Drosophila melanogaster: one gene and its partner. The gene in region 1 interacts genetically with each later gene. Each region holds a gene or a part of one and is shown on either strand. Other genes may lie near its edges. The genes, in order: BRWD3 and His3.3B.

Evidence for each region.
Region 2: of BRWD3 (region 1) and His3.3B, changing one suppresses a phenotype caused by changing the other (phenotypic suppression), as found in Drosophila melanogaster (one study listed by BioGRID).

Annotation. Positions count from the first base shown.
Region 1 is NT_033777.3:24,317,125-24,322,079, forward strand, and holds the start of BRWD3 (BRWD3), read left to right. Parts: upstream 1-1,875; 5' UTR 1,876-1,990; coding exon 1,991-2,033; exon of another isoform or gene 2,034-2,284; coding exon 2,285-2,343; exon of another isoform or gene 2,344-2,467; coding exon 2,468-2,497; exon of another isoform or gene 2,498-2,658; intron 2,659-2,892; coding exon 2,893-2,952; intron 2,953-3,543; coding exon 3,544-3,790; intron 3,791-3,851; coding exon 3,852-4,659; intron 4,660-4,738; coding exon 4,739-4,835; intron 4,836-4,899; coding exon 4,900-4,955. Other genes in the region: Nab2 (nuclear polyadenosine RNA-binding 2), read right to left, coding at 1-717, 772-997, 1,091-1,132.
Region 2 is NC_004354.4:9,152,023-9,158,820, reverse strand, and holds His3.3B (histone H3.3B), read left to right. Parts: upstream 1-2,151; 5' UTR 2,152-2,241; intron 2,242-3,207; exon of another isoform or gene 3,208-3,417; intron 3,418-3,808; exon of another isoform or gene 3,809-4,036; intron 4,037-4,135; 5' UTR 4,136-4,159; coding exon 4,160-4,441; intron 4,442-4,580; coding exon 4,581-4,709; 3' UTR 4,710-6,298; downstream 6,299-6,798. Other genes in the region: Dlip1 (dorsal interacting protein 1), read right to left, coding at 1-144; Ost48 (oligosaccharyltransferase 48kD subunit), read left to right, coding at 390-531, 606-1,813.

The DNA of each region.
Region 1 (4,955 bases):
TTGAACCGAGACGGTCATGCACCGATCGCCTTTCAGACCGGTCTTCCTTGGCCTTGTCAGCCGAAGAATCTTTTTTGGGGCTCTTCTCCTCCGCCTCCTCCTGGCGGGAATCGATCTCCGGTTCAGCCTCTGGACGCTTTTCGGGTGTCTTCTCGCGTCTGTTAAAAATAATGGGGCTCTTAGCTTTTCGTGGTGGAGCCTCCAATTTCGGGGGATCCTCTTCTGGCTCCTGGTCTACAGACTCCTCCCTCGCGCTCAAGTTCAACAGATCCTCATCATATTCATCGCTTTCATCCCCGATCTCGCCAATCTGGCGTAAATGCTTCTTGGCTGCATGAATTTTCTTTTGGATTTCGGCCAGCTCAGCGAGGTCTTTTTGCCGGTTAACACCGATAGTAGTTGAGATGATCTCAGACACAGCGGGCACATCCAGCGCCCTATTGGCCGATGCATCCTCATCCTCGATGGACTTGCGATTTTTCTTTTTGTGCAGGATCTCGTCTTTGGCACTGAGATCAATGTCCATGGTTTTCTTTGCCTTCTCGAGAAGCTCTTCGGCAAAAACATCCGTGATGGAACTGACAATTGGCATGGCATCTGAGGAACTTGGCTGTGGTTCCGACAGCTCATCTCCGGACTTTCGGTGCGGTCGCTTATCCTTCTTGGATCCTTTTTTGTCCTTCTCCTGACCGCGAGACTTGCGCTTCTTGCTGGAAGCTGAAAAAATTGGAGTTAGTGGGTGCTTAAGTATGATGAGCATATCCATCATACCACTGGATGTGGGGAGTGTGACCTCTTGGAGCTTTTGCAGCACTTCGTGCAGCCAGGTGACAAAGAGGTCAGTTTGATCGCCTAGGAATAGATTCAGCTCGGCGTTCATCTGCTGTTTGGTGCGCTTGTTGGCCACCATGACCATGACGTAGTCCGGCAATTCATCGTCTATAAAACCGGCCGATCCTCCGGTTCCCAGCTCCAGCAGCTTTGCCTTTACGGCGCTCTATTAATGAAGTGCAAAAATATATATAGTATTGGAGTATCCAATCCGAGCGGTATCCATAACGAGTTCATTGATTTTTTTCCAATGACTTACGCGCATCTTCTGACCAATCTCGCTGCCCAGATTGCACTCCATGTTTGCTGGTTTATCTATCGCCTTTTTCGCTGTTTATTCGCCGCGAGCATTTATTATTTACGCTTACTTTGTGGCTACACTCCACTTTTTGTTACATTAGAAAATGGCAAAACCTCCCAAAAAAAAAAAATATCGCAGCTGCTCCGATATTCATAACTAGTGGTGTGCGTTTGACATTAAGGGTATTCACGTTTAATTCACACGTTTTATAATGTATATATCGATTTTCTATAAACATAGCTTTAAAATAATAAATAGTTACAGAAATTTCATTTGAAATTAAAATGGCAAATTAAAAACTTCTGAAATTTAAAAATGCTCCTGGCCATGGCCATGAACTGAAGTGCAACATAACTTCAAAATAATCAACACCAATGGGACAATTTAAAAATATAAAAAGATTTCACTTGTTATTCATTAAATCATAAGTCTAGTTATCAAGAATTTGTGTAGTAGCTATTAAATTACATTCGAAAATTAAAAGCGAATAATTGCAAACAGTTTATTTAATCACATAGCTAAATATAAATTTCATAATAAGCTTAAATTCCAAACCAATGGCTACGAATATGTTTGACTGAGAATTAAAATTCTCAATTTGAAGTAAATATCTTAGATTGTAGAATCCTGCGAAGCATTTCAGTGCATCATCTCAAATTCAAATACGAAAATTGGCTCCTTCGGCTAAGACTCGATACCCATCTTGTGAGCCCCGCCACCAACTATCGATACGCAAAGGCATTTCATTCGGTGGGAATGGCAATCGAGTGTCACACGGGAAGAAGAAGCTGCGAAAAGAATTTTAGAAGAAAGCAACTGCAATTTTGTCATAATCGGAGCTGCAATTCGCAATGAATAATGGAAACTAGACAACCCAGTTCCGGTGATGATCTAAAGCCAGGTGCGTACCGCCCGGTGGCGCAGCGAGTGCGTCCAACGGGGCTACCAAAGGCAGCCCCTTTGACTTTGTGAAATGTGTGTCTGTGTTTCGCTCGCCCTTCGAATCGAATGGCTGCGTTTTTTCGACTGCGTTTCGCCAAGCGAAATTCACGGGCCCCTTTGGCCAGATATATCTGGAATATTGACGACTCCCAGCGAGCGCATTTTCGACAACTTGTTGCACTAAAACCCGTGAAATCCTCTATCTTGCAGAGCTGTACTTCCTCATTTCCAAGTTCCTGGCCGCGGGACCGCTGGAGGAGACGGCGAAGGTGGGTTGAAAGCAGCGCTCGCGCGAGATCGCATTGGAATCGTATTTCGCGCTAAAAGAGCGGAATTTCGTTTTGTTTACAAACATTTACATTAATTCTGAAACTAAATTCTATCCAACTGTAGGTCTTGATCCGGGAACTCGAAGAGAAGAAGGTGAGTTTTGTTGGTGCTGCAGCTGTGTTTTTGGCACAGATATTTCGGACTCGAATTGAGAGGGGGGCCAAAAAAAAAATAGAAAACCGCGTTTGTTTATACGCTTTGTTTTGGTTTTGTTGTTGTTTCTGCTGCCGGCAGCGAACGACGAAAAACCCACTTGTACGTCCGCTTGTCTCAGAGTTGGGAATCAGACTGAATTGTGGATTTGCTGGGGCCACGTGAATATATAGTCCATTAAAAAAAGAAGAGAAAAACATGAAAAAAGAAATGGAATCATAGGGATGCCCCCGCGACGTCATCGTCGACGTCACGGAGTGCAAGTGATAAGAGTCATACATGCATGCATATATATTTACACCCGTCTATATATACGTACACCTTTCGATTCCCAGGTTTTGCCGCGTCGTCTCGATTGGCAGGGAAACGAGCATGAGCAGACCTTTGAGGAATTGGTGAGTGTTTTCATAATTAATCAATTAGCTTTTCAAAGTTATCGTTTAATGCCTTTTGATCGGCATTTAAGTCTTGCGTAAGTGTGCGTCTGCTGCGGCATTTTCCGTCTCAGTCGTTCGCTCGCCTTTGTGACGTCATCGTGTCAGGGAATAGAGAAAAAGTTGCACATCAAAATTCAAGTTGTTAATTTAAAAAACATTACAACTAAAGACATCAATCATTCTGACTGTTAAATTAACAAATAAGTAAGCAACTATTTAATTAAAAAGGCAGCAAAAAATTGCAAAAATTCGTAAAAGACTAAAGTGGAAAGCAAAAATTCTAAAACCCTCGTAAAAATTGTAAATTTTGAAAAATCTTAATTTTTTAAACAAATGCTTTGTAATTTAGTTTTAACAATTAGCTGCAACCAGCCGACATTTTGGTTTCTCACACATACACATGCCCATGCGCACAGACACATGCAAGCAACCACCACTTTGCCTTGACTTGTGCGCGAGGGAACGAGACAAGCATACGTTGTTGAAGCTATCGCACCGTTTATCGCCCAATCGATAGGAATACGTTAAATTTTGATTTTGAATTCGCAGGAACGAAAGTACAAGCACATTGGCGCCAATCACTTGCTTGAAATATGCAGTCGTCTGGGTCCACTGGTGGATCGCGAGCTTCCGCCCAGTGTTCCGGGCATCAACTCGCTGTTGGGTACTGGGCGCCAGAACCTCCTGCGCACCAAGGAAACCGTCTACTGCCATCGCTCCTTAAGGGACTACTGCACCCGCCTGAATGGAGTCTCGCTGCCGGATTCGGTCCTTACAAAGCCGACCCACAACTTAGGTTAGTTGCATGGTAGAGTTTTATTCGCATATTAGAGACTAACCCATTTATATTTCCAAAGATCGCGTTCTAACTGGACGGGAACACGGCGGGGAAGTCCGTCGCAAGCTCCTCGTGCCCACGGACCTCTACCGCCGAACAAAATTGCTCCGTCGCACTGTGGGCCACCTGTCCTCAGTGTACTGTGTTCTGTTTGATCGCACAGGAAGATACATCATCACCGGAGCCGATGATCTACTTATTAAGATATGGTCAGCGGCAGATGGCCGCCTGCTGGCCACTCTGCGAGGCGCCTCATCCGAGATTACAGACATAGCCATTAACTTGGACAATACGATGCTGGCTGCCGGGTCATTGGATCACATACTAAGAGTGTGGGACATGCAAACCACATCACCCATCGCCGTACTGTCTGCTCACACGGGCATGATAACTTCGGTTAACTTTTGTCCGTCGCCACGTAGCGATCTGAAATATCTGGTGACTACCAGCACAGATGGATCGATCGCCTTCTGGCAATACTCAACGCCGCGCGGGCAAAAGATCACGTTTGCCCCGAAGCCAACGCAGTATCATGAGAAACTGCGGCCCGGACAAGCTCAGATGATGTGTACCACCTTTTCGCCAGGAGGCATTTTTCTGGCCGCTGGGTCTGCCGATCACCATGTGCGCGTCTATATGATGGGCGAGGACGGTCCGAAGCGAATATTGGAGACGGAAGCTTACACAGATGCCGTGGACTCGGTGCAGTGGTCGCATCGTGGACTGAGATTTATATCGGGGAGCAAGGACGGCACAGCACACATCTGGACGTTTGAGTCGCAGCAGTGGAAAAGTTCCAAACTATGCATGACGGAGCGTCTGGCCAGGTGAGTGCGATTTTCTTTAAAATGTTTCTAGCTAGTAAGGAATTCTCTGAAAACTAATAGCTTTGTAATTAAATTGCAGCTGCCCGGAACCAGAGGAGGGAAAGAGGCTTAAGGTAACCATGGTGGCTTGGGATGCCTCGGACCGTTATGTCATCACCGCCGTAAACGATTTTACTGTAAGCATCCGTCTTAAAACGTGCTAAACATTTACTTATAATTAATAATCCCATTTAAAAACAGATAAAAATCTGGGACTCGAAGTCAGCCAAGCTGCATCGTGTTCTGCGTGGGCACAA
Region 2 (6,798 bases), on another chromosome or scaffold:
CGGCAAGGAGGCGGGCAGGCAGGACGCTAGCATATCCGCAATGGGCACCATCTGGTCAAGCACTTGGGCACACTCATTGTAAATGGACAGCGATTCCAGGCATTCGTTTCCGCACGTGCGACAGAAGCTCTCGAATATGTCCATTATGGTTGTTGCTAAGGAATGTTATTCACAATCTAAAATTTGAATTAAAATGTTTTGTTTATAAATTGGCTAGTAAATGTAATCGATTATTAATCAAATCATCGATTTTTTATAATTTCTTGAATTCCTTCTGGTATATTTGTATATATTTTGGCACACCCTACCAGTATTCGGCCACACTGACAGCCAGTCATTTTTTTTTTTCAAGAAAAGCCGGAGAGAATTTTGTGTTTTAGTTGGATAAAATGATGTGGAAGGCTCTCCTGATCGCCGTTTTGGCGATTGCCCACTGCCAGGCGGTACTGGAAACGGACGCCAACACCTTGGTTCTGCTGGACAACCTGGCCATCCGGGAAACCCACTCGATCTTCTTCAAATCGCTGCAGGGTGAGTGAAAATGCCGGTTAACCTCTGACGTGGACAATGAAATGTGTTGATAATTGTTTAACTTTGGGCTACAGATCGCGGATTTAAGCTCACCTACAAACTGGCGGATGACTCCAGCCTGCTGCTGTCCAAATACGGTGAATATCTGTACAAGAACGTCATCATATTCGCACCAAGTGTCGAGGAATTCGGCGGCGATGTGAGCGTGGAGCGTTTGGCCCAGTTCGTCGACGATGGCGGCAATGTTCTGGTGGCGGGCAGCGAGAAATCCGGCGACGCGCTAAGGGAATTCGCCTCCGAGTGCGGCTTCGAGCTGGACGAGGAGAATGCGGCGGTCATTGACCATCTGCACTACGATGTTAGCGATGCTGGCGAGCACACAACCATCCTGACCTCCGCCAAGAATCTTATACAGGCCGACACCATTGTGGGCAAGGCCAACAGGCAGGCGGATGCCGCACCGCTGCTCTATCGCGGTACAGGACTGATTGCCGACAAGGAGAACCCGCTGGTACTCAAGCTGCTGACCGCCGAGAGCACCGCCTATAGCTACAATCCCGAGGCAAGTGTCTCCGACTATCCGCATGCCGTTGGCCGAGGCACGCTGCTAATCGCCGCCCTGCAGGCGAGGAACAATGCCCGCGTAGTGTTCTCCGGCTCGCTGCTCTTCTTCTCTGACGAGAGCTTCACAACGGCCGTGCAGTACGCACAGAGCGGTGTGTTCCACAAGCTGGCCGGTAATCGCGACGTGGCCGAGTCCATTAGCAAGTGGGTATTTGGAGAGACTGGCCGCTTGCGCGTGGCATCCGTGCAACATCACAAGGAGGGCGAGCTGCTGCCACCGGATCAGGCGTACACCATCACCGATCCGGTCGTCTACACCATCGGCATCGAGGAGCTGGTGCAGGGCGAGTGGCGCGCCTTTAAGGCCAGCGACATTCAACTGGAGTTCGTGCGCATCGATCCCTTCGTCCGCACCTATCTGAAGCAAACGAACACGGGCGCCTACCAGGCCAAATTCAAGATACCCGACGTCTACGGCGTTTATCAGTTCAAGGTGGACTACAATCGCGTGGGCTACACGCATCTGTACAGCACCACCCAGGTGTCGGTGCGTCCGCTGGAGCACACACAGTACGAGCGCTTTATCCCGAGCGCATTCCCCTACTACACCAGCGCCTTCTCAATGATGATCGGCGTGTTTGTCTTCTCATTCGTGTTCCTTCACTTCAAGGATGAGCCCGTGGGCAGGGCCGCCAAGGAGGACAAGAAGTCGCAGTAGTATGCACGTTCGTTCAACTCAAATGTAACACACAATGCACTAAAATAAAGTTCTCTGCAGAGAGAAACCCACAATCCATAAAAGAACTTGGCTTTTTTTTTGCTTAATGAAGCTTATATTTCATTAAAATTAGCAGAGTCCAACCCATTAAAACATATTCATTTTTAATCTTAGGTTGGAGTTAAAAAAATTTTAAAAAGTTATAAAAATGTAATTAGCAAAGAACAGAACCAAACTATTTGGCGGGCATGGTCTTGTCAGACAATCGAGTGTAATCGAATACAATCGAAGTAGGCCTTCGCCTACTAGGCTACCATCTCTAGATCTCAACGAAACGAAATCATTGTGAAAATTTCTCTCGTCCGAATTTGTTCGTCTCGTGTTGAAAGTGACAAATTGTGAAGAATAACTTTATTCCGTGTTTAACGGTGAGTTTTTTTTTATTGCTAAATACTTATAATACTAAGTGTGGTTCTTAAAACGCACGTGCTTGTGGCCGCTGAATATGTGCGTGTGTGCACTGTTTTCCAAATTTTTTTTTCGTTGTGAATCGCCTGAGTTTATGTTTTGCCGTTTTTGGGGCTCCGCCGGCCGTCCAGCGGAGCCCTATTTTTCACCGCACACACACAGGCGCATTCTCGCTGGTGGATACATACACAAATACACGAAGATGTGAGAGGTCTCGTATTCGCACGACTGTTGGTTGCATTGTTGTTTTAGTTGTAATGGTGAGGTGCGCTGCTTTTTTTTTTTTTCCAAAATGGCCGCCAAGCAGGAGAATAGCAAGAAATAAAAAAGTTGCAGTCGTTGATGAAATTGGCAAAAAGAAAATTAAAAAAATAAATAAAAACGATTTGCCAATGTGCGAAAACTGGCGCCAAAAAGTATGAGTAATCGTATTTATGCTGGTTGGCATAAACATATAAAAGTTATTTATTTATTTCTTAAGTGGCACGCGCGTTGATGTGTGTGTATACTAAACACGCACATTGGTTAACAAATGCAAATGTGCATGGCTGCGCTTGTCATGCGCAGTGTGTGCCATCTCTCTTTCCCACCGCCAGCTTTTCCCGTATGTTATTGCATAATTGCTTTTTATTTTCTTTTTCCTTTGGCATTCTCTTTTGTGAGGATGTGCAGCTGTCACATCTACACGCACACACATGCTGTTTAGCGGAGAAACGACGCAATTAACTGCTGGCACACCTTTCTTCTCTTTCTAACGCGAACGTGCCCCTATAGGCATCTCCCTTCGACTTGCCGCCTTTCAATGCGCGCCAAGTTTTTACCGCTTGATTTTCCTTCCTTTTGTTTATGTTTACTCTTTTGGCGCTACCAGTCGAAGAATTTTTTTCGTTTTCTTTGGCTTCCTTTTATTTGATATTTTCCTCTTGCCTGCACAAGTAATTATAAATTGAAAACTACAACTCATTACTTCAGCGTGATTGATTCCGCATAAAGCGCGAAAAAAACTCAAGAGGCTGTACATAAAAAGAAGGGGAACACAAAAAACGGCGACTCACGATGTTTGCCCGCGAAGAAAAGAAATGAGATTTTCAAGTGGTCCTCCATCGTGGAACAACTACACAGCGAGAAAAGCAGATGTAATATATCTATACCACCAATTGAGAATTAGATGGTATTCCTATTGCTATTTAGAACGGATAAATTAGGGTTTTTTTATGGACCACCTTTATGAATTATCAGAAATGTTTCTTAAGTTTTTTTAATTATAAGTAATGTGAAAACTTTAGAATCATCTTAGCTAAGCTTCATTTGCACACCAATATAAATATGGATCACACTATTATTTTTCTGAGTGTTTTGCTGCCGAGGCACGATTTATTCCTTTGCCACTGAAGTGGAAGTTTCTCGAGTGCCTCGTTCCCAGAAGATGGGAAAATATTTGAAATGGGGGGCAAGAAGGAAAAGCAGGCAGCTGCCTCAAAAAAATTTCACCTTCAACCCTCGTTATCGTTATGACCACGAACCAAAGTTCCTCGTCAGTTGGCCGCCAGCGCTTCGGCGCTGTGCATCGGTCCAAACTTTGGCTCCCAGCGATATCCATCCGTGTATATCCGTCAAGAGTCCACGACACAGCACAATCGTATCCTGGCCAATTGCATCGTGCACTGCGCCTGTGCTGGACGAATAGTTTAGAGTTTGTGCCCAGTTCATCGAGTTGTCTTTCTCATCTGGCGAGGATCAGCGTGTTTATTTTGGGTACCAACCAAACAATGATTGTAGAAGTGTTTATTTAATCTGTGTCAATCTGGAACGCGCAAAATCTAACATTTGCATTTCCCATTCTCTTAATTGCAGTTTAAAAAAAAAAGCTAAGAAAACATGGCTCGTACTAAGCAGACTGCCCGTAAGTCGACCGGAGGAAAGGCTCCTCGTAAGCAGCTAGCCACCAAGGCTGCCCGTAAATCGGCGCCATCCACCGGCGGAGTGAAGAAGCCCCATCGTTATCGTCCCGGAACTGTGGCTCTTCGTGAGATCCGTCGTTACCAGAAGTCGACCGAGTTGCTCATCCGCAAGCTGCCCTTCCAGCGTCTGGTTCGTGAAATCGCTCAGGATTTCAAGACCGATCTGCGTTTCCAGTCGGCTGCCATCGGTGCCTTGCAGGTGAGAATTATGCTCCAAAGAATCAGAGTGGCTTAACTTAACTAAAAATGACAGGATTCATGGGATTATGAAGGGGGGGCTACTAATATCTAAAAGGAACTTGGTTATCCAACTCATATGAATTTCTCTTGACTTACAGGAAGCATCTGAGGCGTACCTGGTGGGTCTCTTCGAGGACACCAACTTGTGCGCTATCCACGCCAAGCGCGTGACAATCATGCCTAAGGACATCCAGTTGGCGCGCCGCATCCGTGGCGAGCGTGCTTAAGGTGGATCAGCAGGAACGCCAGATTCGATCACTGTCGTCCATTCCCGAACAGTAGACCATTCACGTACCGTTGTAGGAGAGGTGCACGCCAAGGAGCTATACCAGCGACACATTGATCCAATCTATCATTCATATTTACATGTATACATTTATCATCCTTTTGTTGTTCAATCGAATCGTCAGCATGACGTTGTCGATAAGAAAAACACCACACACAAAACAACACACAACATTACTGTAATGCTTAAAAATTATTTTATAACTCTTATTATTACTATTATCAATTAGTTTTTAAGTTTTTTTTCTCGCCTGTGCGTCGTCGGTGTCACCGTGTACGTTGCGCCGTGCTCCTTCTTCTCCAAATCCGGGTCCACCTCTTCGTTTTGGAAGGAGGGAATACCACCGGGCGGCCGTTGTCGCCTGTCCGCCTGCAACATCCGCCACCAACCACTCCAACAACTGTCCAGCTGGCGGGCTTCGGTTTCCAGGTAATCCGTGATCTTTAAGGCGCCTGCCTCGCCTTTATCGCTTCGATCGAGGAGAGGTTCACCATCTGGCTGCCGGGATGTGCGGAGCCTGGAGATCGGGGCCAATCTAACGTCGGCTGGACGTGGCAAGGCGGACAGACGGTTGCGGACCGCCTGGCGGTGATTCCCGGATCTCTGGATGGGCGGCGAGGGCATGGCCGTCTGGCGATGCCACTGACGGCACGCGGCTTTTATGAAGATAATATCCATATATAACACCGAAGACCGAATCGAGTACACTTAACTTTACACTTACGTATATGCATATATATACATAAATACATATATATATAAATATATATATATATATAAATATAAATATAAACCTATGCGGAAGGAAAAGAACTAGATATTAATACTCTTTCTTCTGTTCACTTTTCGTTACTGCAAATCATAATCAGAGCATTATATATATATATATATAGAAGTTATATATATATATATACACATAACGAAGGGATGGGCGTGACAGAGTTAGTTGATTAAATAAGATTTTAGATTTACATGCATTTTATACGTTTAGGCGGACGATAGAAGATGATTCTTCTTCGGGAGATGAAAAAAAGATATAAAGATGATTCAGCAATCAGATTAACTTACACATCTATAGATTTGGAAGAGCATCGAATAAAAATAACCAAGACAGAAATCACATAACAATACAAAATAAAAGCAAAAGCGCCGAGCAGAGCATTGAATATTTCCCAATATTTATATGTAGTTTGAAACACATGCAAAATAATCAATTGTAAACGCCCATAAAACATGCATATATATATATATAAATATACATATAGCTGTAAATTGGTGTCGATAACTAGTTTCACATTGAACATTTAAACAAATCGGACTAAATATGTGTCTATTCGTATCGTCGTAGCTTACAAGAACCAATATGAAAACAGAAAACAAAAAACGAATCCCCCACAAAACACAAAAACAATTTACAACAACAAATCAGTGACAGCAACAGCAAAAATAACTGGAAACATCAGCAAAAAAAAAAAAGAAAATAAAAAATAAACGGTTTTTTCTATAGAAGAAACCAAAAAAACCCAACACCAACGAATTGTATTTTCTGCGAAAGCGAGACGGGAATAGTGTGTACGAGCGGGCGGGATAGGTGGCGATGGTACAGTTGACTCCAAAAATCGAAACCAAACGTCATTTGCTTTGTTTACGTGTGTTAATCTCGGTGCGTGCGTGTGTATGTGTGTTACTCTTGCTCGTTTCTGTGTGTGCAAGTTTGGCTGGCTGCAGCTGTATGTGTGTGGGTGGCTTTGGCGCTGCCCCCTTTTTTTTGTTTGTCTTTGATTTGCGTTTTCAAGGCTGCTATTAACTGGCGCCACCTAGCGGTGGTTCTGTGCCACAGGCGCCCAATAAGTGTTAATAAACCCCTTTGTTCGTAAGCTAAGACGCCCAATAGGGGTTAAGGGCTTATCTTTGTAATTAAATGTTGATATTTATAATAATGTACATTGAAGCAATAATTTATTTAATTTAAGTTACCAATGTTTTCCATCTTTTTGTCAGTGTAAATATCGTTATAACTCAAGCATACC